2 linked regions of the Neodiprion lecontei genome follow. The main gene of each other region encodes a partner of the protein of the gene in region 2 in a complex. Links are inferred from orthologs where the notes say so. Each region holds a gene or a part of one and is shown on either strand. Other genes may lie near its edges.

Region 1 (10,777 bases), about 16 Mb from region 2:
TTTCACATGTCTACAACGTCAAGAACAATTCTCAGATTTATGTAGTTTTGGTACTTGCTAGATCAATGTATATCCAAAGCGTGTTACAAATAAGGAAACAGACGTTTTCCACCATATCATATCTGAAATTTGAAAATTATGTTACTCAATAATTTGAAATTATACGCTTTTAGTATTTGACAAAGATATTTCCTCGAGACATAACTGTACATGCCGGGCTGTGTCCCACTTTGATATTCTATAGCATAGGGAGTTGGAACCTGTTTGAAACTTCCAGTTCCTACTACATACATCGTCAGTGGCTACAAGAAGACTCGTATACAGCAGAGAATGTGTGGACTTTGCAAGCAGCTGAGCCATTGCGAAACGACGCAAAACTTGGATCTACGTGTATGCTTTTCGCATATAAAATGGTTGTAAATATATTTGGTCAGAGCAATAAGAGTAAATGTTTTTATAAATACATTCAGAAACAAAAAATATACGATGGTAATAAATTCACCCAAAACTTGAGTATTCTTGTTTCTCATAGTTGAATATTACCCTTGTTTTTTTTATACATGTTGTGACAACTGATCAAACTCAGTTAGGAATTTAGGTCATAGTTTTGTTTTCCTCCATTTGGGATAAGTGATTAACCGTTTGTAATTACGAGCACAATCAATGTTGGAAAAATATCTATCGGTATACAGAAACATACTTGTTCCAATACAACACAGCTGCATTGATCAAAAACTCGTTTCAAGCCTGAAAAGTATTTGATCACTTTCACCTTTCACGTATCTGACTAACGCCAACTAACGCTCGTGGTAGAACAGTTGCTTACACAGCATGTAATAAGATATTAAAAAACGTTGCAAGTGGTGCCGTAATTTTTGATTCGTACATTCACGGTTAATGTGTTTGTTTCACAGTAAATTTTACTGGTAATTCAGCTTAGATCAGTCGTATCCACATTTCCGCGATCCTTCTTCTCTTTGTGGCTATGCATCCAGCATGTGGCCACAATTCCGTGGTTTTTATTCGTCATATGGCATTTTCAGTCGTCAGTCTGCGTAATGAATTTATTCCTGGGAATAATCTGCAGGAAACAGCAAATGAGTAAGAGATAGAGACAGAGAGAGAGAGAGAGCGAGAGAGAGAGAGACTGGGTAATGCGTAAGACTGACAATGAGAAGGAAGCAACGATTAGTTCCGGCTAGTGTCAGCTGGAAGGGGAAAAAGTAAGTTGATAGAACTGTGACATGACGTCCCAACGCCGTTCTGCGTAGGTTTCCATGATTCTATCTGGAGTCTGAATGGGGAAAACCCAAATGAGTGTAGAGCGTACGGCGCATATTGATTGCTCAAACGTATTTTGGGAAAGATAGGAACTCAGTAGATTAATCGGTTTTCAATGTTACTTCAAACTTTATTGGGCCCGATTAATTTCATGGAATAATATTTGGGTACTGAAAAGCGGTAGAAAAAACTGAGTGTAGATCTTAATCGGTTTGAGTAATTTCTTTTAACCTGCAGAAGTGTTTCTTGGTGAGATCTAGATTGTAAATATTGATGGGCTCTATAACAAACTGTTGACTGAATATACTCTTCAGTCAACGAACGAACAATGCTACATATTGCACACAGCATTATCATTCCATTCACTGACGTCATACACGCGGGGACAATTAGTTTAAAAATCAGACTGGTCAGTAGTATGTAAGACCGTGGTAGCAACCTACCACCAGTAACTGTTATAGCGACTGTTGCTTATCATATATTCGGAATACTGATATCTTACTTTTTTTTTTAATATTCACTGATATCAGAGTGTCAAATAATGATTTCAAACGAATGGCACACGGGAAATGTGGTGAAATGATCTTCGGTAAGAATATTCGACCAATCCCTTCACGGATCCCTTCACAGCTCCATTTTCTCAATAATTCCTACCTCCTAGCCAATAGCCGAAGCCATTTCATCGACGCGCTGAAGCAGTCGTTTCGTAATTGGCTGGTACCAAATTAGAGTGCACGGTGCAGTTTCATTCGCGATGGAGAATGATTAGTTGTAAAAGGCACTGGGTTGATATTTAACGAATAAATAATAAAACGTTAGATCAACGATTCAAACTTAAATCATTACAAGTTTATCTGAGAATTTATTTGCTGTTTACGGAACGAAGATTTTAATGCGCACGCGCTCTCTACGGTGAATTCCACCATACACAACCCAAGTCTTCTGGACAACACGTAATTGTAAATTTTTTGTTGGATTCGATTTGTACCAGAGAACAAAATTAATTCGCGTAGTACTGGACGTTTCATGAAAAGACTGAATACATTATTTGTACATATTAATTTTGCTAACTAAATTTGATTACAGCCATTTAATGAAATAACTAACCATAGGTGCTTGACAGATTACCCAAGAAGTAAAAAAAAGCATTTTTACGAACAACAATGGAATGTTATTATATTACATTTCATTTAGATTTGTAACTACGTTTAAGGTTAGCAACATTTCAAACTTTCCAGTGCGTATCTAATCCTACCTACATGTGACTCCATAATGTTGCAAGCTACAGAATGCTTCAAATGAATTTTATATTAATGTACTCTTGCAAAGGATAGAATTATATTATTACATTCAACTGAAAACTCCAAAGTTCTTTTAGAATATGTATGCTTTATTTTTGCAGAATCCTCACCTCTTCTAGAAAGTAAAGTGTTAGAATGGCTCAAAGATCACCAATTAAGAATCCGCCGAGTACTAAGGCACTGCAATTTCATCAAGTAGAAAAACAGGAAAGCCAGCACTCTGAATCACCGTCACCCAATCAAAGGGTACTCATTTTGTCAACCCCTGTCACGCTGAAAGATGGTACTGTGAATATGAAGCAACGAACGATACCGCTTAGAGTTGATAACAGTCAGCTTATGATAAAGGCTGGAGAAAACAAAAGCAGAGTTGTTTCATTGAAGCGAAATCACGAAGCAGTGCCGCTGGCTTTGCCAATAAATCAGCTGAACCAAAAAACACCAACTTTTGTAAAGAACGAAGTTGGTCAAGTGATGGGCAAGCTTATTCCGCTTGGAAAATTTTCTAACATTAGTCCAAATACATTGAGTCCTGCCAATCCTACTCCTGCTTCTGCTTCTACTTCACCGATTGTTTCAGATATTGGTGTTAAAAATTTAAGAAATGAAATGTCCAAGCAAAATACGAAGTCAAAGGGGTACAAATTGGTTAAACTAGATGAAAAGGTAATTGGAGCAAACGCTGCTGCAGCTGAGAAATTTGAGGAAATTTTGAAATCAAAACAAAAAACAAATACTAGCTCTACATGTCAGGTGGCTACTAAACATACTGCGACAGCTTCACCAACGGTAGTTACACGAGTGAAAAATGCTGAAGATCAATTGATAACCATAACAGATGATAAGCCAAAGAAACAAGTCCACTTGGTCCTGAAAGGATATGAAAATATTGCCAGTATTGGTCAAACTGGAACCAATATTAAACTAATTCCGTTAGAACAATGGGGAATGGATACAAAGCTGAATTTTTTGAAAACTCAGTCAAGAAGCTCATTTATTTCGCAGCCAAAAATAGTGGATGTGAGAAGTTGTGCTATAGATGAAATAGACGGACTAGGTGACTCACATTTTGATGACAGTAAGTTGAATCATCACTATGACAAAGGGGACTTTGATAGCGATGACGTATTGGAAAAAGATCCGTTGGACATTGAAGGTTTGAGCAAAGAGACCAGTTCATTTCATTATTTGTTAGATAAAAATGCGGAAGAAGATGATAATGACTTGCCGAATGCACTGGAAACGAAAAAACTTAACACAATAGATGTAATTGATTTCGAATGTAACACCTCGGCAATGGGGGGTTTGAGTGATGTCCAAATTACTACTTTGGTGAAAAATAAAAATACGAGCAGCTTCAAATTAGATAATCAACTAAATCCCGAAAGTAATTATTGTCCAAAGAAAAGCAGTGATCTTTTGGAAGATTCAACCAATTGTTCAGCATCGAGTAATATAATAGCTGTGAAGGGCACAAAGGAACATAATCCTGTTATTGATGGTTTGACTGAAAAGAGTAGTAAAGACGACATACGATTTGAACAAAAGTATGCCGATTATGAAAATCTGTGTAAACAATTTCGAATTAATCAACATAACGTTACGTCCAGAGAAACAGAAATGTTGTCCTATATCCACAACCTAAAGAAAAAGCTTTTTCGATTTCAGAAGAATAGATATCAAACATTGGCCGCTATCGAGCAAAGAGAATATCTTGGTATCAGTAATCTATCGACTATTCAAAAGCGATTTATAGAAACACAATTGAGGAATTCTAACAAGACGTCTAAAAAACCAAGGTTTACTAAAACAGATATAGTTATGGCTAGGGATATACTTAAGGCAACTGGTCCGAGGGGTTACAATAATTTGAGAAAACTTTTCTCCCTTCCTGGCATAAGCATTATTGTTAAAGGAATTTCTAAAACTTAAAGACAAGTTGAGTTTGCGAAATTATTTGGGATACAATGAGAGCTAAACCCCAGAAATGTTGGTAAAAAAAGCCTGATTGTAAACAGTAAAAGATTTTATCCAGAGGGATAATCCGAGATCAAGATGTTTTAGAGACTGAATTACCACTGAAGAGTAACTAATGTAATTCTAATTTCAAAATTACACTATATTTTAATTATTTAATTACGTTCTGTGACCTCAAAGTGTTCAAAACTGTGACAGTTATGAAATTACACAGTCTAATTATTCTATAATCACTTGATTTAAAACTGCAACTGAAAAGTCTTTTACGGTTTGAACGTTGGACTTTGTAATATTATCAATTCCATAATTATGGCATTGTACTTTTTAATTTTATTCAACACGTTTGTTAGCTAAATATGAACCAATTAGAAGGCCATGAGTATTTTTTACGTGCAATAATTGACCGTTAAATTAGTTTAGTTGTATGTATATGACATGCATGAAAATTGTATAAATGTAACTATGCAAGGAGTATAATTTGCGTTTAGAGAAATTGTTATGTATACTCATAATAATGAATAAAATCCGTATCATATCGATATTCTCGAGTATCACCTATACATGAGTGTAGTCTTAACTCAGTTGCAATTGAAAAGTTGAAGAGCTCAAATAAATGCACAAATTACACTCTGGAATTTTTTCTGAGTGACTGAATATTTTTTCAATCACCATCCTTCATCATGACACTTAATACAGCTGTAAATTGAAACAGACACCTATTTGTAAAAACATTAATCTACAACTTGAAATTAATGTATCCACAAATTTTTAGAATCTCAGCTAATGGTATTGAATTATACAAATAAAAGTTGAAATTTTAATGGTACGTACATACATCTCATTGAATTTACTTGGCATCAACTTATTTTGATACTCAATTGAAAATGAATAAACAATCAATCTTTTAGTGGAATTCAGGAATTTATAATTTCAGAACTGAAAGCTGTCATCATATGTAATTCAACTGCATGTTGGCGCGAAACTTTACACTTGTTATTTTTGTCCAATTTTCAACACTAGTTAGTTAACGAAGCACTGGCCCACATCACTGGCTAGACTCTACAGAAACCCAGAATCAGAACCACGGACGTGGAAATAGTGAAATGATGTAGTTATTAGCTTGGTTATTCAATGATACCAGTAACTTGTTATTCAATTTTTTTAATCTACGAATTCCCGTTACGGTGGTTCTATTCAGTTTCATACAGTCTGGCCGCAACTTTCGTGATGTAGCACACAACGTAATATGGCCGCTACCTCGGTTTTACTACTGAAATGTATTATAAATATTTCAGTGGGTTTCCTCTCACGTCTCTAGCAGCTCGACAAATCTATCCCGTGGATGTGAGCTTGGATAGGAAATCTTGATTCTGATCAGGAAGTAGATATTGCGGCAGGCATGGTGGTCACCTCTCTATTTGTATACCTTGTAAACTCAGGCAAGTAACGTTACTTAAAGTTGCATTAGATTTACTTCCACATGCAATTAAGTTATAAATCAATACTTCAGGATCCGGTAAGTGTAGAGCGATAAATTCAGCTTGATTTTGTTATTTTTTTAATCCATTAATTCGACTAGCTTTGGATCACATTCCTGCATCTAATGTAAGATGCATAGTGTACATGGTCTACTGTATTTAACATGGCGTCATGCGGCGTAAAAATAAACAATATTTCTTTACGATTTTCAGGCTCACAACGATGAATAAACGCCGTCGAACTTCGTCCGTTGCAAGTCGTGGTACTGAGGATGATCCCGACGACGTACAACCGGAACCAACGAAACGACGACGAAAATTAGATCCGGTAACATTGCCCTGTCATTTTCTGATATTACGGACGCAATCTATAAACAATAACTTATTGATTCAATTCATACTAATATAATAGAATGGGAAAAAAATTACAATGGTCGGCAGATTGTTGTAGATATGGCTCTGAAGATATACTTAAAATAATTTCAAATTCGGAGACCTTGTAAATGCAAGTTGATCCATCTGCGAAAGACAAATGAAATGACAGAAATATCTTTGTGAAACTTTCACACAGACATACTTGCAACTTGGTAGAAATATTGCTTCCCTTTATAGTAATTATATCATCGAATTTAGCTGTATTCATTCAACACTTTCCATTAATATCTTGCTTCTTGTAAAGTTGGATTCCAGTTTGAATATGCGATGCCGTTGTATTATAGGTTGGATTAGCCAAATTTCAATTAGAGATTTATCATTGCAGAGTGATCTTTGCCAGCAGCTCTATGATGTTCTTCGTAATCAAAAAAGAGAAGATGGAACACTGTTGTGTGATGCTTTTATTCGCGTACCAAAACGCAGACAGGAACCTGGTTATTACGAAGTTGTTACAAATCCAATTGATTTGTTGAAAGTTCAGCAAAAGCTCAAAACCGATGAATATCGAGATATGGATGATTTGGCAGCTGACATTCAACTTATGGTTAATAACGCTAAAGCTTTTTACATGGTATGTATTTTTTCCAAATCAACAACTCGTAATTGAATTTGATGGTTAAAAGCAATGAATTAGAACAAAGATTGATTTATTACCTAGAGCTAAGCAATCGATTTACATTTTGATTGCCCGTAAGGTAAAACTGCTCATAGTTACAGTTTATCCTGTTTATTGATATACATATAATAATGCGGTAACTTTTGACATTTTGTCTAGCGGACTTCTCCAGAGTACAAAGATGCAACGGAATTGTGGGAATTATGTCTGAATACTAAAAATCGGATAATGGAAGAATATGAGGATTCTGAACCAAAGGGGAAAATAATTCTTAAGGTTGGCAGACTGGTAAGATAATGCAAAAAACACGTGAGTTATATATACAAGAAGCTTAATATTAATATGTCCTTTATCAGGCACGGAAAGTAACAACTCGTCAGGATGACGCTGAGGACACTTCTGAAAGCTCTACCAACCCTGATGAAGAGTCTATGCAACCATACGAGGATTTGTTTGCTGCGGTCATGGCTGCAACAAATCCACAAGACAATAACAGACCACTACATATTCCATTTCAATTGAAACCTTCCAAGAAAGTTTGTATTTTCACTGAACAATCCAATTTTGTTGTTACAAATTTTATGTCTATTTGAATTTTTCATTTTCTTGTATAGTCAACGAATGTGGTTGCAATATGAGAATTGTGATGTTCCATTACGCGCCAGGAAAATTGCAATAGAAATACACATTTTACTGCTTCACAAATTACCTGAAATTGAATAGTGTGAAATTTAATTTGCAGCTGTACCCTGAGTATTATGAGATAATTGAGAATCCAGTGGATTTGAAGACAATCGCACGCCGGATTCAAGAAGGAGCGTATGCTGGACTGATTGAAATGGAAAGAGATCTCATGCTCATGTGTCGCAATGCTTGTCAGTTTAATGAACCAGGTTCTCAAATATACAAGGATGCTAAAATGTTGAAAAAGATAATCGTTTCTGCAGCTAAAAAACAGGAATCTAGCGCTACTGGTATGGTACCGAAGCTCACTTCTACTGCAACTTCTACTAGAAGTAAAAGAGGAAGAAGTGCTGGCCAGTCCCTTGTAGCAGTGACTGCTGCACTTGCAGATGAAGATGAAGATGAAAGTGATGACGAAGAGGAGGAAGCTAATGACGGAGAAGAGTCTGACAATCCACAGTGGCAGTTATTTCAGACCATAAAAACTGCCCCAAACAGTCAAGGTGTGTTTCGTTTTGTTTCAATAAAGGTAGAATATCTTCAACAATTAACCTCGAGTTGTGAATATAGGTTTCTTGATTGAAAATCTTTTGCTAGTAAATTAACTTATTTATGTATGTGATATTCATTTATATGAGTGAAAGTGGTGAATTAGACAATATTTTATTTTGGATCTACAGGCGTCCGGATGAGTGAATACTATTGGAAATTACCATCTAAACGATTATATCCTGATTATTACAAAGCAATAAAAAATCCAATATCACTATATCAAATACGGACTAAAATAAAGGTGAGATACAAAAACCCATGTAAAAGGAACATTTCTTACAATTCCAATGCATGTATCGACTGACGATTTGATATGCAAAAACATCAATAAATGAGCTGACACATATTAGTTTGTTCAACTTACATACATATATGGATTTCTTTCATAGAAGGGGGAATATGGCACTGTCAGTGAGGTTGCAGGTGATATGAATATCATGTTTGAAAATGCTAAAAAGTATAACGTCCATACGTCTCGTTTGTATAAGGTAAATTTGCATTGCAGAAATCTATTTGATTGAAATAAGCAGGAAATAAAATTATATGTTTTCATAGTGTGCCGCCAAGTTACAGAAAATTATGCAAGAGAAGGTACAGGAACTTCTTGAATTTGATCAGGTAAAAATTAACTTTTTTTCTTGTGATTAAACCATATTTTTTAAATCAGTCGTAAGTTGATAGTTGGCCAAATTGAAAAAGATGATTTAATCTGTTTTCAAATTTATATTTTTTAATTTCTATCTCATCTATGAAATAGATCTAGTTAACCTGATATAATTTAAACCAATTCTTCTAGGATTCAGAATCAGACAGTGATTCAGAGAATAACTTGCAGCAACCCAAACTGATTAAGCGTGCATCAAATGTTTTGACTCGGGGAAAATATAAGGACAATGTGCCATTAAAAAAGAGACTGCATGTTCTTGTAAAGTGTGTGATGGAATACGTTGTAAGTAATTCCAATTTCTCGTGTTCATATTTCTGACAATTAATGTAATACATGATTGGTGAAATTTCAGTGTGAAGATGGTAGGCAGCCTATGCTTATGTTTATGGAAAAACCATCAAAAAAATTATATCCAGATTATTATCAAATTATTCAGGAGCCCATTGATATGTTGGGTATTGAAGCAAATATCAAGGCTGAAAAGTATCAGAATGAAAACGAATTAATTGCGGATTTCAAGGTGAGCAATACGCTATTTACACGTTGTATTAGCAGTTACTTTCGTTTCACGTAAATATTCAAAGTAAAATTTTTAATGAGTAAGAATTTCTTCTCTGCATGCACGATGTAAGGAGACTGTAGTGTGTAGATGTTATGTTTACCCTTTTTTTGAATCCTTTGCTTCCGATGAGAAGCCCGTAAGACGGCAATGCCGTCTAATAAATGAGATGCGGTCTAGCATCGCTAGATACCAGGTTCGATTCCTGGCTCCGTCGTTAATTTTTCAAATTCACCAGTTGTTCAAATTTACATATTTTCAACAAAATTCTCTCGTAGATTAATGATTTGCACACCCGCATCTCATTTGTTAGACGGCATTGCCGTCTTACGGGCTTCTCATCGGAAGCAAAGGATTCAAAAAAAGGGTAAACATAACATCTACACACTACAGTCTCCTTACATCGTGCATGCAGAGAAGAAATTCTTACTCATACAAATCGGGCACATGAAAACAAATTTGAACTCACTGGTTATGAGAGAAATTAATGACAACAGAGTCAGGGCGGCTAGGTGGTCTAGTGGAGTAAGTCTCCGGTAAAGCATCGCTAGATACCAGGTTCGATTCCTGGCTCCGTCGTTAATTTTTCAAATTCACCAGTTCAAATTTACATATTTTCAATAAAATTTTTAATACTTACAACATGCGAGAGCTCATTAACGATATTTATAGTTGATGTTTAATAATTGCCGCCAATATAATGAAGAAGGGTCTCTTATATATGAAGATGCAAATGTATTGGAAAAGGTTTTGATGGATAAAGTAAAAGAGCTGGGACCCTTACCAGAATTGGTTAAACCAGTGAAATCTGCAGCATCTACACCGACAAGGAATGTAGGGTGAGTAGCTTTGGAAATTTTGTACTATAACAGGTCACACCAATGAATTTACTACTTATTATCATACCTAATGATTTTATTGTATGGTGGAATCCTTTTCCAAAGTTGAAAATATTTCTTGGGTTTTTATAGAAGGCCAAAGAAAGTTGTACCGTTGCATGTGCAAAAATTACGAACAATGTACGATACAATAAAAGACTATCACGATGCTAAGGGCAGACAGTTGTCCCAAATATTCATGAAACTTCCAAATAAAAATGAGTATCCTGATTACTATGAAGTTATCAAACAACCAATGAACATGGAAAAGATTGCCTCATCTTTAAAAAATAATGGATATGATAATCTGGATGACTTAGTATCAGATTTCATTCTCATGTTTGACAAT
Region 2 (10,426 bases):
GAGTCGTAATAATATACCGATTACAATTGAACGTAGCGTGCCATGTACCATCGGTTATGGTACATTACAAACATTCTAAAGTAGAAAACTTTCGGGTCGATAAATATCTAAAAATCGTGCTCTTCGAGCTGACAACAGCTCAATCGCGAAAAACTCGAGTGCTCGATTAATGGTATGAATAAAGTGGAAAGAGATATTATTACTAAACAAAAGTCTATATATAATTAAAAAATTTAAAGAAATGTTTCTCTACCAGCTCGGATACTTGACGCATTAAAATTCATAAAATTGTTAGAATATACACCAGAGTTCTAGATTTGCCATAATCTCATATTTTCCATCTGAACGTAAAAGGTTGTAACAGTATAAATCAGCCATAAGTAAAATGCAAGACGTAGACTACTGAGTTTTGTAGTCATTTGTTGTTTTCTTTGTTTTTTATTTACTATAATACAATTTATACAGAAAATCTCATTTTCAAAGTAAACTCAGTTTGACAAAATTTTATGCAGGCATATATTCTCGCACTTTGTCTGGGACGACAAACTCTTCTGGAGACTCCTCGAGTAGGCATCCCAGAAGTCTTGGTACAGATAGTATAGTTCCAGAAATAATAGAAGGAAAAGTTCTGCCGTAATGAGTTTGACAACTGATTAATAATCGCTTACTAAGATATTCTCCACAGAGAGAAAGGTGGCCAACTTCGATGTAATCATTCGAATAAGGAGACCACAGCTCAAACGATACTCTCAAACTTTCCCATGGCCTCAAATCTCTGGCTGGTCTAACTACGATTCGGTAATGATTGCAAAGGCTGTTGTATAACAGCTTTGCGGAGTCAAGGATCCTCTCAAACTCCTCCGCGTATTCACTGCTCTTCGAGTCTTTGACCATAGCAAAAACTTCTGCCACAGATGACTGACAAACTGTGAACATTCCAGCCTCCCGCAAACGGCTATTAAAAGGTACGTACTGCCTACCGCTGGCAAAATACCTCAGCGGAAAGTATTTCGGATTAATCAACTGCTTGGTATGCATTGCAAGGAAGGAAGGCAGACTGGCACCTCCGATAAGGTGCATGCGATTAACCGAATGTTTTTCGACTTCCTCATTATCTTGAAGGATGAACGAATCTTCGGGGCTCTCATGGTCCAGCCCAGTAGCTTCTACAATTATACTGCGAGCAAAATCCAAACCTGTGACCCGCATCGTGTTATCATGGACAAACTCATCGGCAGCTAATCGAAGTACGGCCAGTTCAAAGAGGGCTGCCTCGTTGTGCAGATAGTAATTCATAGGGCTTGAATACTCCAGCAATCCCAACCTCCTGCCAATATCAATGTGGCTACTCGAGCAACTTGAATTCTCACCGGGATTAAGGTTTCCGTAAGAATACAAAATAACCGGATCAAAAGCTGGCGTGTCTTTGTGCAGAACGTTGGGTAGTTTCAGAATTTTTGGAATCACGGAATCCTCAAGCTCCCACAGGATTTCCCTGACTACTTTCAAATCCTCCCTTAATACTTTGCCCACTGTTTTCAGTCGGGTAATTTCTTCATTGTCTACAGATTCGGCATTACTTGTGTTTAGACCTTTTATCTGACTAGCTGTGTCAATTCTCTTCTGCTCCAATGCATCCCGATTTGAAATGACACTTTTGTATAAATCCCATGAATTTTTCACACTTTCAGCATCGACATCAAGAGCGCGCAATTTCAACTCGTTTTTCAACTTATCCATGTCTGAAAATCGCTCGTCAAAGTCGAGATAGGGGGACAGAATCGCAAACGATTCGCTAGCCCTTTTGCCAGATACAAAGAGTGCCGAAACATAAGTGCGCACGTTAAGATTCAGTGACAAGCGTCCCAGAAAGAAGACATGTTTCATGCTCAACAGTCTTATACCAACATTCGCCATGTTGCAGAAAATGTTAAATTATCTGGACCTATATTTAGTGTGAACCTCTTTATTTAATGTCTACCTATGTTCTACGGTTTTCCCTTATGCCAGAGTGTTATCTTCGGTTCTTGTTATTTTTGTAGCTGGCGCCGCATCGACATCGTCATCGTCGACCTCAATTTTGTCCGCATCTTTCCCCGGCTGTGTCTCGATCTTTCGCTTCCTCGGCAGAACGTAATTTCCTTTACCAGCAGCTCTTTCAGAGTCTTCAATTGTGTACGGCTCCAGTTCTAAGGCCTTGAGTCTGCGCTTGTGAACTTTGGTGGTAAAGTGATCGAGGAGTGCCTTGTTGTCGATAAAGTACCTCCTGCAAAAGAGTAGTAATTAATTTCTACAATACTGAAAATCCTTCGGAAGATGAACCAGGATAGGTTAGATGAGGTTATGTCATGTTGAAAATACTAACGCGCAATGTAGGCAGTAGTGCTGAGCCGCACCCGGCTTGTCCAAATCCACTTCCTGGTTCAATAATGCGGGAGCATATTCATCCTTGATGTCCTCGTTGATCTGCAATTCAATCACGCGACATGTGAACCGTTAAATTAAGTGGTAAAAAATCGAAATCCAACCAAGAACGATGATAACAATAACCGGCCACGTGGTGGCGTGAGGCGCGCCGCGTGTATTCAGTTCGCAGAAAAAAAAACATCGAATCTCACCTCGTCAAGATCTTTCGTTCGTCGTTTAGTCCTCCATCCTTTTTTCAGATGTGTATCTCCCTTGTGATATTTTCTACGTTTGTAAGTCATCTTTCCGCTAACGTGTCAATAATTAAATAACGAACACAGAGGTTAACTTTTCTACGAGTGGTAAAATTCGATCGTCTTGTGTTTGATAAATCGTATCCCGTTGATACATGCTCGAGTTCGTCCGCGTTGGTCGACAATTGTTGCGATTATTTCTCCGTGCGATTGTAAAAGGCGCTCACGTTCGAAATGACGAAACAGTGTCGTTCCGTTATATTTTACAGAGAAACTTAACCTCGGGTTCCGGAGCAAGGCGTGGCGGGACGTACGAAAACAAGAACGGAGAAAATGTTCTAGACCGTTCGGTATTTGTGAAGAACGGTAAGAATTACAACGTTAATTAAGTTTTGAATAATAACGGCGTCCCGTAGTGGGATATTATAGAGGATACGATACGCGTATGTTAACGAATATGGGAAAACATAATATTTCTAAATTTTTGTTACTCGTTTTACGTAAAATGTGTGAAAAAGTCAGTCTACTCGAAAATACCGCTCGTAGTTTGTTTCACAATACCCGCAGGCAGGTATCTGGAATAAAGGAGAGTATCGATAGTTGGCGCAGCGTGGACAAGATGGAGACACAGGGCAATGCCGAACGGTACGCCCCTGGCGGTGAGACGATACGAAATTCAAACATCCGCTACTGGTGGAGAGCCTAAGCCTTACCATCCATCCATCCATTTTGAAAGTAAAAATATTCCATGACCGGGGATTTTGGTAAACGTACGTATCGTATAATCACCAAAGTACGCTGGTACCGTGGCTCGAGGGTGTATAAAATGAGTTAAATACAGGTGAGGGTCTCGCCGGCTACGGTTAGCAAGAGTGCGATTGAACCGTCGATCCTGATCTCGTAGGTGAATTCCGCGAGGCGAATCGAATGGATGCCAGTCGTAAGGGACGCCATTTTGATATACGGTCGGGTACGTCAGGCATCGGAGCCAGAAACGCGGTAAAGAAGGGTTCCCGTGCGCGCGTACATTTTCTGGCATCGCGAGGGGAGTTTTTTCGAGGATTACGCAGAGTTCGGTGCCGCGTACGAGGCGGCGGGACGGTGTACATAGTGCGTTAAGTGACAAGTGACAGGTGAATCGATGATTGCAAGTCCCGTAATCGCGGCTTGCTAGTGGCGTACTGCCAGTGGAGTGTCCGGTCTACGCGAACTCGCGTACGGTACTCGATAACGAGGCACCGACTACGAGGAGCGGAGCTCCCTTGGATCGCCAAGCGTTTTCCCGCTAGAGAGATTGGACTTTCTTGGTTAGCAAGCAGCAAGGGGCATCCTTGCTTGCGCCTCGCCTCGCCTCGCCTCGCCTCGTCTCGCCTCGCCTTGCCTCGCCGTACAGTCGCGTGTGTGGCTTGCGTATATCCCGCATCTCCGAACAGTTGCCACTGTGAGAATCCCGCGTGTGTGTTTTTGTTGCCCCGCGACCGGTTCCCGAGGGCTCGGGAGGACCTATCGCCTATCGTTCTTATTGTTCTTCGATCGGATAACGAGGAAAGAGGACAAATATTCGGCGATACTTGGCAATCTCTCTCTCTCTCTCTCTCTCTCTCCTTCGCTACTTCTCTCTCTGTCCCTCTGTGTGTCTGCATTTGCAACGCGGATTCTTCCCATCTCCTTATTCATACGTGTATACGTATACGTATACGCACTCGGACCTAACTTAACACACGACACGCACACATACATACACTCATATATATATATATACACACACATCCCTCCGGCTTTCCCCGGTTCTTTCTCTCTCCATCTCCCTTTTTCTCGCCCCTCGTCATCCTGTGTTCGCGATTTTAAAAAAGACAACGATATTCGGGTTCTTCCCAACGCCCGTAAAACTACAAGTCCGATGTTTGCCGCCGCGGCTCGAAATCATCTCAGGCCGAGACATCTAGCTGCGACGAGAACGTCGACGAGGGTACACCTGGAAGTAAGGAGAGTAATTGCGTCGGGGGTTATTGCAACCCTGGCGTAAATGCCCCCCCGCGGCACATGTGCTCGCGTAAACCTAGCGCGATCCTTAATTAATACGCCCACGCGCTCCTTAACATGGCCAAATTCCTCAACAAGGACCCTGTCACCTATCAGCGGGAGCGTGACGGGTTCATCAAGGGACTTCATCATTTTCACGAGACTCGCGGGTAAGAATCCACTCGTTCATTCATCGTTCGTTTCCCTCTCGCCTAATTCTCCTCCTCGCTCATTTATGTCATTCTTGTTTTTCTTTATTATTTATAGTCTGTAGTTAATTATCTTACGCAGTGCCGCTGATTATCTTCTTTAATTGGGCTTCCACTCACCGTTCAACCGAAATCCGTGAAATTTCATTTTATCAACCTGATCAGGCAAGAAACATCTAATACCGTCAGTAGATTCGGTACACCTATAACTGTACGGAATTTTTTTTATGGAAGCTTTCTGTTTACAATTCACACGTTATATTGTTAGTTTAATTATCACACCGTGCATTTTTGTTCACTGTGTAGATCTTAGCGTCTTCTTTGACACGCAAAAAAAAAAATACGCAACAATTAATATCGCGGTAATCTTTCTTTCCATCACATGACAAAGATTGTCCCTCCAGTTCCTTCAACCTCATTGTTGGTAGTATCCTCCAACACATCCTCGGAGTTTATCAAAAAGAAATTCTTTCAATTCACTTGTAATTAACATTTATGTATGAAAGTACTTTATTCATCACCTCTTATCATTCATCGTCGTAAATCTCAAGTAAAATATCTCATACCATATTCGGTTGCATTTATCCTAACCGCAGTTGTACTATACGGTTATATAAGTAGTACTATGGTTGTTTAAGATAAGTAACGAGGTTGTTCGGTTCCAAATCCCTTCTAACGACGAGGGACTCAATTTACACGAATTGAGCTGTTTCGTTTATATTTTCATTGAATAATTACCGTAATCAGCCAAGTTACCTAGGATTCTGCGTTTCTTAGTTTAATTCTTATTTGCTTACAGTCATAAAATACGACCCATTCATTATCTGATATTCAACATCAGCCGTCCACTCTTCTTGAATCTCCACTCGCAACAAGTGCAGACCACAAATCGATCCTCTTCCCCCAAATGGATCAATTTTTCCTTTCATTACCGTTATTCGTATAATGTATGATCTATCCACACCTTAGGCCTAAGCCTCACACCGAGTGAAGTCTGTTTCTTGAATCGAAAACGTTTGTTGGGTTCTTTCTCATTTTTTTTTTCTAGGAATTACTTTCGCAAATAAAGAAGAACACCGAGGGAAGTGAAAAAGAGCAGACTTGCTGCCTATACCGTCTCACGCGTCTCACTGATGTAATCGTACTCGGGATTTTTTCTGGCAACTTGCTGCTAATTTCGTTGCCGCGTGATCCTTGACATTCGCATTATTATACGTATCGGTAAAGTCCGCGAATCTATCTGGAACAACCCGCGTGTGTGATGTTGCGTTTAATTTTTAGCGAGTAATCGTTCTCTCCATGATTACTAACGTAAGTTTCATTTCTATGCCGTTCCTCGCACAGAGTACAGCAGCACATGTTCAACGTAATGTACGTATCTACGTAGGTGCGTACATACGCATGTAGTTTGTGCCCACTGCCCACATGTATCACAAACATCGTACAATACATGACGCGGTGTCGCGCAAAGTCTCGTCATCATCGTCGGGAGCAGCGAACGCGGTTGGAATACAAATAAGGAGGTTTTTTTTTTCTTTCTCTCCTCTCTTTTCTCTACCCATAAATTGACATAGTTTGTCATGTCGTGCAGGTGAAATCGGCTGCAACGCTATCCGTAAATTTGCACGTTACTTATTCCCGAAGCTCGCAACAGTGGAATCACCTTTCCAAATTCGTTGCTCAAAAAAGATGGCTACAGTTTTCTCACCGATTTTATTATACATTTCAGAACACCCTTCAGGAGGCCACCGAAAATCAGCGGGAACGAGATAGACTTGTACTTGTTATACGTGCTGGTTACCGCCCACGGAGGATGGATCAAGGTCAGTTCAATAACTCTTCAGCCTCTCTAACCACTTTAAACACTTTTCATACGAATAACGAATTTTCGGGTGTAGGCATAAATGCACAGTCGGAAAATTATAGCTCCAACACTGCAGGCTCCTCAAAAATTGAGTAACGGTATGAGAAACACCGTGAGAAAAGTTTTACTACCAATGGGAACTTGTGACGTGAGAACAGCGAAAAATTTGCTGTAGTTAAATTTTAGTTTTCGACGCTTTTGAACTCGCACGTGTGCGCAATTTCCGGTGAAAACGGTCCGTTCGATGTTGGTTGGACAAAATTGCAGGCAGTACGATATAAGCTGTAAGAGAAGAAGCGAGTGCTCGCTTTGACGACCGCGCGAATGATGAAGGGGGCGTCTTAAGACCCTCGAGAATCTTGAACAGAGTACTTTTTCTCTTTCCGCACCTTCCGCGCTTTTTCTTTTCTTCGTATTACCATTTTTTTTTTTCTGCCGTCTTCCTTTTCTCTTCTGCAATCTGCTGCCTGCGAGGAGTCAAACTTTCACGTCAAGCATTAGGTACACGTTTGTTATACGTATATTTACAACCCGCGCTCTCGGGAATACAGAATAATTAATTCATCATTGACGTAGGCGCAGTGTGAAAAGTAAATATCAAATAACAAAAAACGTGTGCATAAATGTTGTGGATCGAAATAAATATCGCGTCAACTACTCTGCGGTATAACGATGACGCTGATAATGAAGTCCGTTCAAGGTTCTCTCTCGGTTTCAAATGTGTGAAATGATAATGAGGAATGTGAGGTTTTCAACTTGCAACAATAATGTGACAAGCGGGGCTTTCGTCGGTCCATTCATTGACCGCGCAGTGGAGATAAAACCTCGTAAAGCGGGAGAAAAGTAAAGTATATAAACAAACGTGCAGACGATGCGCGTCTGAAAACGATGCCGGGGTAATTGCTCCGAATTTAAAACGAACTAACCGACGATAATCCTCAATGCTGTAATAACGAAAACGGCTATAAATTATTGGAAAATTGTTTTTCCAATTATCGTAATTACGAGAAGCAAATGACTGTTACGTTATGTTAGAAGAACGATAAAGAAAAAAGAAAGAGAATAACTTTTCCTTAGGCAAAAATTATTATACGCTCGGAAAAACACTTTCTTCCCGAGTCGAGCATGCGACTCGTACTTCCTGCCAGTTTCAGTTCGTGTAACGAACCACAGCATCAACTACGTCTATATATTATACAATAGAATATGCGCTATGTGGGTACAATAAAATCCTCAACCGAACCAGAATGGACTTTTACAAAAAATCGGATTACGCACAATGTATCGTTTAACGTTTCCACGCGGTATATCGGCATACGCACATTTACTTATTAACTGCTTGCGTGGTGAAAAAAAAAGTCGCAACTACACTTTCCTTTTCTACTTTTTCGTCTTACAGGTACTTCCGGGGTGTATTATGTTTCACATTTTTAATACATCATCAAATCAACAACCCGTTGAAAGAAAAACCACCTCCGTACAATAATATCCGGCGGTCCGTCGTATACTGAACGCATACTTGGAAAAGCATAAAATTCTCGCACATTATCGCATCGCGGTGAGACTTCCCGATACGTATGCATGGTACATACATACATACATACATCACCTTTCGCTCCCCCTCCCCCGCCCTCGAAGTGCACGACGGTTCCTTGAACTTGCCGCGCTGCTTCCGGCGAGGCGCCGAGAGGCGCGAAGAAGAGAGGCGCGGAGAGGAGAGGAGAGGAGAGGAGAGGAGAGGAGAGGAGAGGAGAGGAGAGGAGAGGAGAGGAGAGGAGAGGAGAGGAGAGGAGAGGACCAGGTCCGCGTGGCGAGTTCCGCGAGTGAACTTCGCGCGTCAATCGGAACCTCCGCGCAACCACCGTCGCCTCTGGTGTCCCGATGCGACATGCAGCAGCACTCGGTCGTCGAATGTCGTCCGCCGGCCGGCCGGCAGCCTTCCTGACGTAATACGACACACCGAAGAGTCACCATCGAACTCTCTTCTACTCTGCTCGCTCCCTACCCTCCCCTACCCGCCCCTTATACCCTCGATATTCGGCGCCTGGTCGCGTGGCGAGTTGACACTCGGCGAAAGGTGCCGGCAGGAGGAGGAGGAATAGGAATAGGAATGAGAGTCCACGCGGTGAAACGCGATAAATGGCACAGAACGGAATTAACGGAGAAGCAACGCTCACGGAACTGAGGCGGCAGAGACCCCCCGAGGGTTACTAACCCTGCGACGACGGTGTCGTACACGCGTGCCTCACGTGTCACAAGTATATCTACGTATGGCATTCTTCTTTACCGGCGGGCGTGCAAAGAAGACAGTAGCCTCGTACACACGGATTAGCCCTGTCGTTTTTTTTTCTCTCTTTTTTCCCTTTTTTTTTATCCTGTCGAAGAAACTACCGTACGGGTACCACGATCGACTCTCTTTCTCTCCCTCTCCCTCTCTTTCTTGTTTCTGTCACAGTTCACCGCGTAACGTGCGAACATATTGTATCCGTACGCAATGTACAGACATGCGTTATTGTTACGTCGGAAACGCTGCATGGGAGAAATCCACCGAACCAAATTGAAACCTTCCAGCCGTCGGGGAAAATGCAGATTGTTTATGCAAGTATCGTGAATCAGTAGCAGCGGTCAGCTAACTTTTCTTGTTGCATTGACGGCGTATCACCGACCCTGTACAGAGATAAACCGCCCACACGTGTGTTGTTGATATTCTTGTTGTATCCTGCGCCGTCCCAAGGACACCGTTACAAGAAGCAAACTTCCGTTCCTGCTCGCCTAGCCTGTGCGAAATACACGATAATTTCTTTTTGTTTCTCTACGTTTTTTCCATTTCCGGGATCGCCGATGGCGGCCGGTAGGAGGAGGAGGACAAGGAGAAGGAAGAGGTGGAGGTGGAGGAGCAGACCTACTAAAACATTATTAACGTAAGGATAACGCGGAAGTGGCGCAAGGTCAGGGTCGCGTTGCGCGGACGCGGGGTAGGGGGGCATAGATCAGCGGTGGTGAAGAAGAGGAAGGGATGTAGAGGAGTAGACGGTGGCCGACGGTAGCCGAAGGCTTTAACCGTCAACAAGTGTGCGTCGCGGCGCCTAGTATTCTTCTCTTGGTTATTAACCGAAGAAGGGAAGTCACTTTCCCGGATCTTTTTTTCTTATCGTGCACCACCTCGCTCGATTTTTCTTCAATTCTTTTTTTTTTCTCCTTTTTTTTACTCTTCATCTCGCCCTAAACGTGTTCCGTCGCAGCAAGGGGAATAATAATCTCGTCTAAACTCGTCGTGCAAAATTCGCCCTCTCTTATTCGTCTCCCCGCAAATACCTGATGCGAATTTTACGACTTCTTTCTGTCCGGTATATGGTACCCGAATATAACGTGTATTATTATTCCGTGTTATGGAAGTTGGTCCCCTCGCAACGATCGACGGACCGGGTCGTTCATTCTTTTTGTTCATCTTCTTGCCACTCAACCGCATATTACACCCATCTTTTTCTTCATCGCCGTAACGCCGGAATACCCTTGGAATATCATTAGTCTACCTTTTCGTTGAGAGTAATAACAATCATAATCATGGTGCAGAATTATAAATCTAAAAGCGAGAAACTCTGTTATTATTCCGGAAATAAAGTGTACGGAGTAAGATATATAGAACATGGATAGATCGCGTTTATTCGTGT

Evidence for each region. The genes of interacting proteins can lie anywhere in the genome.
Region 1: AT-rich interactive domain-containing protein 2 (region 2) and protein polybromo-1 share a complex: the UniProt entries of both Homo sapiens proteins name them as parts of the SWI/SNF-B (PBAF) chromatin remodeling complex. The link is inferred for Neodiprion lecontei from reciprocal best matches to the Homo sapiens genes ARID2 and PBRM1.

The regions. Positions count from the first base shown.
Region 1 is NC_060265.1:21,309,780-21,320,556, forward strand, and holds the start of protein polybromo-1, read left to right. Parts: upstream 1-5,883; 5' UTR 5,884-5,998; intron 5,999-6,250; 5' UTR 6,251-6,260; coding exon 6,261-6,365; intron 6,366-6,797; coding exon 6,798-7,043; intron 7,044-7,247; coding exon 7,248-7,376; intron 7,377-7,444; coding exon 7,445-7,624; intron 7,625-7,830; coding exon 7,831-8,275; intron 8,276-8,452; coding exon 8,453-8,565; intron 8,566-8,713; coding exon 8,714-8,812; intron 8,813-8,879; coding exon 8,880-8,942; intron 8,943-9,120; coding exon 9,121-9,273; intron 9,274-9,343; coding exon 9,344-9,511; intron 9,512-10,222; coding exon 10,223-10,389; intron 10,390-10,521; coding exon 10,522-10,777. Other genes in the region: uncharacterized protein LOC124295063, read left to right, coding at 2,718-4,514. UniProt on the Homo sapiens protein: Involved in transcriptional activation and repression of select genes by chromatin remodeling (alteration of DNA-nucleosome topology). Required for the stability of the SWI/SNF chromatin remodeling complex SWI/SNF-B (PBAF).
Region 2 is NC_060265.1:5,612,978-5,623,403, reverse strand, and holds the start of AT-rich interactive domain-containing protein 2, read left to right. Parts: upstream 1-3,369; 5' UTR 3,370-4,760; coding exon 4,761-4,852; intron 4,853-6,620; coding exon 6,621-6,714; intron 6,715-10,426. Other genes in the region: serine--tRNA synthetase-like protein Slimp, read right to left, coding at 505-1,917; zinc finger protein 593 homolog, read right to left, coding at 2,002-2,266, 2,366-2,466, 2,619-2,708. UniProt on the Homo sapiens protein: Involved in transcriptional activation and repression of select genes by chromatin remodeling (alteration of DNA-nucleosome topology). Required for the stability of the SWI/SNF chromatin remodeling complex SWI/SNF-B (PBAF).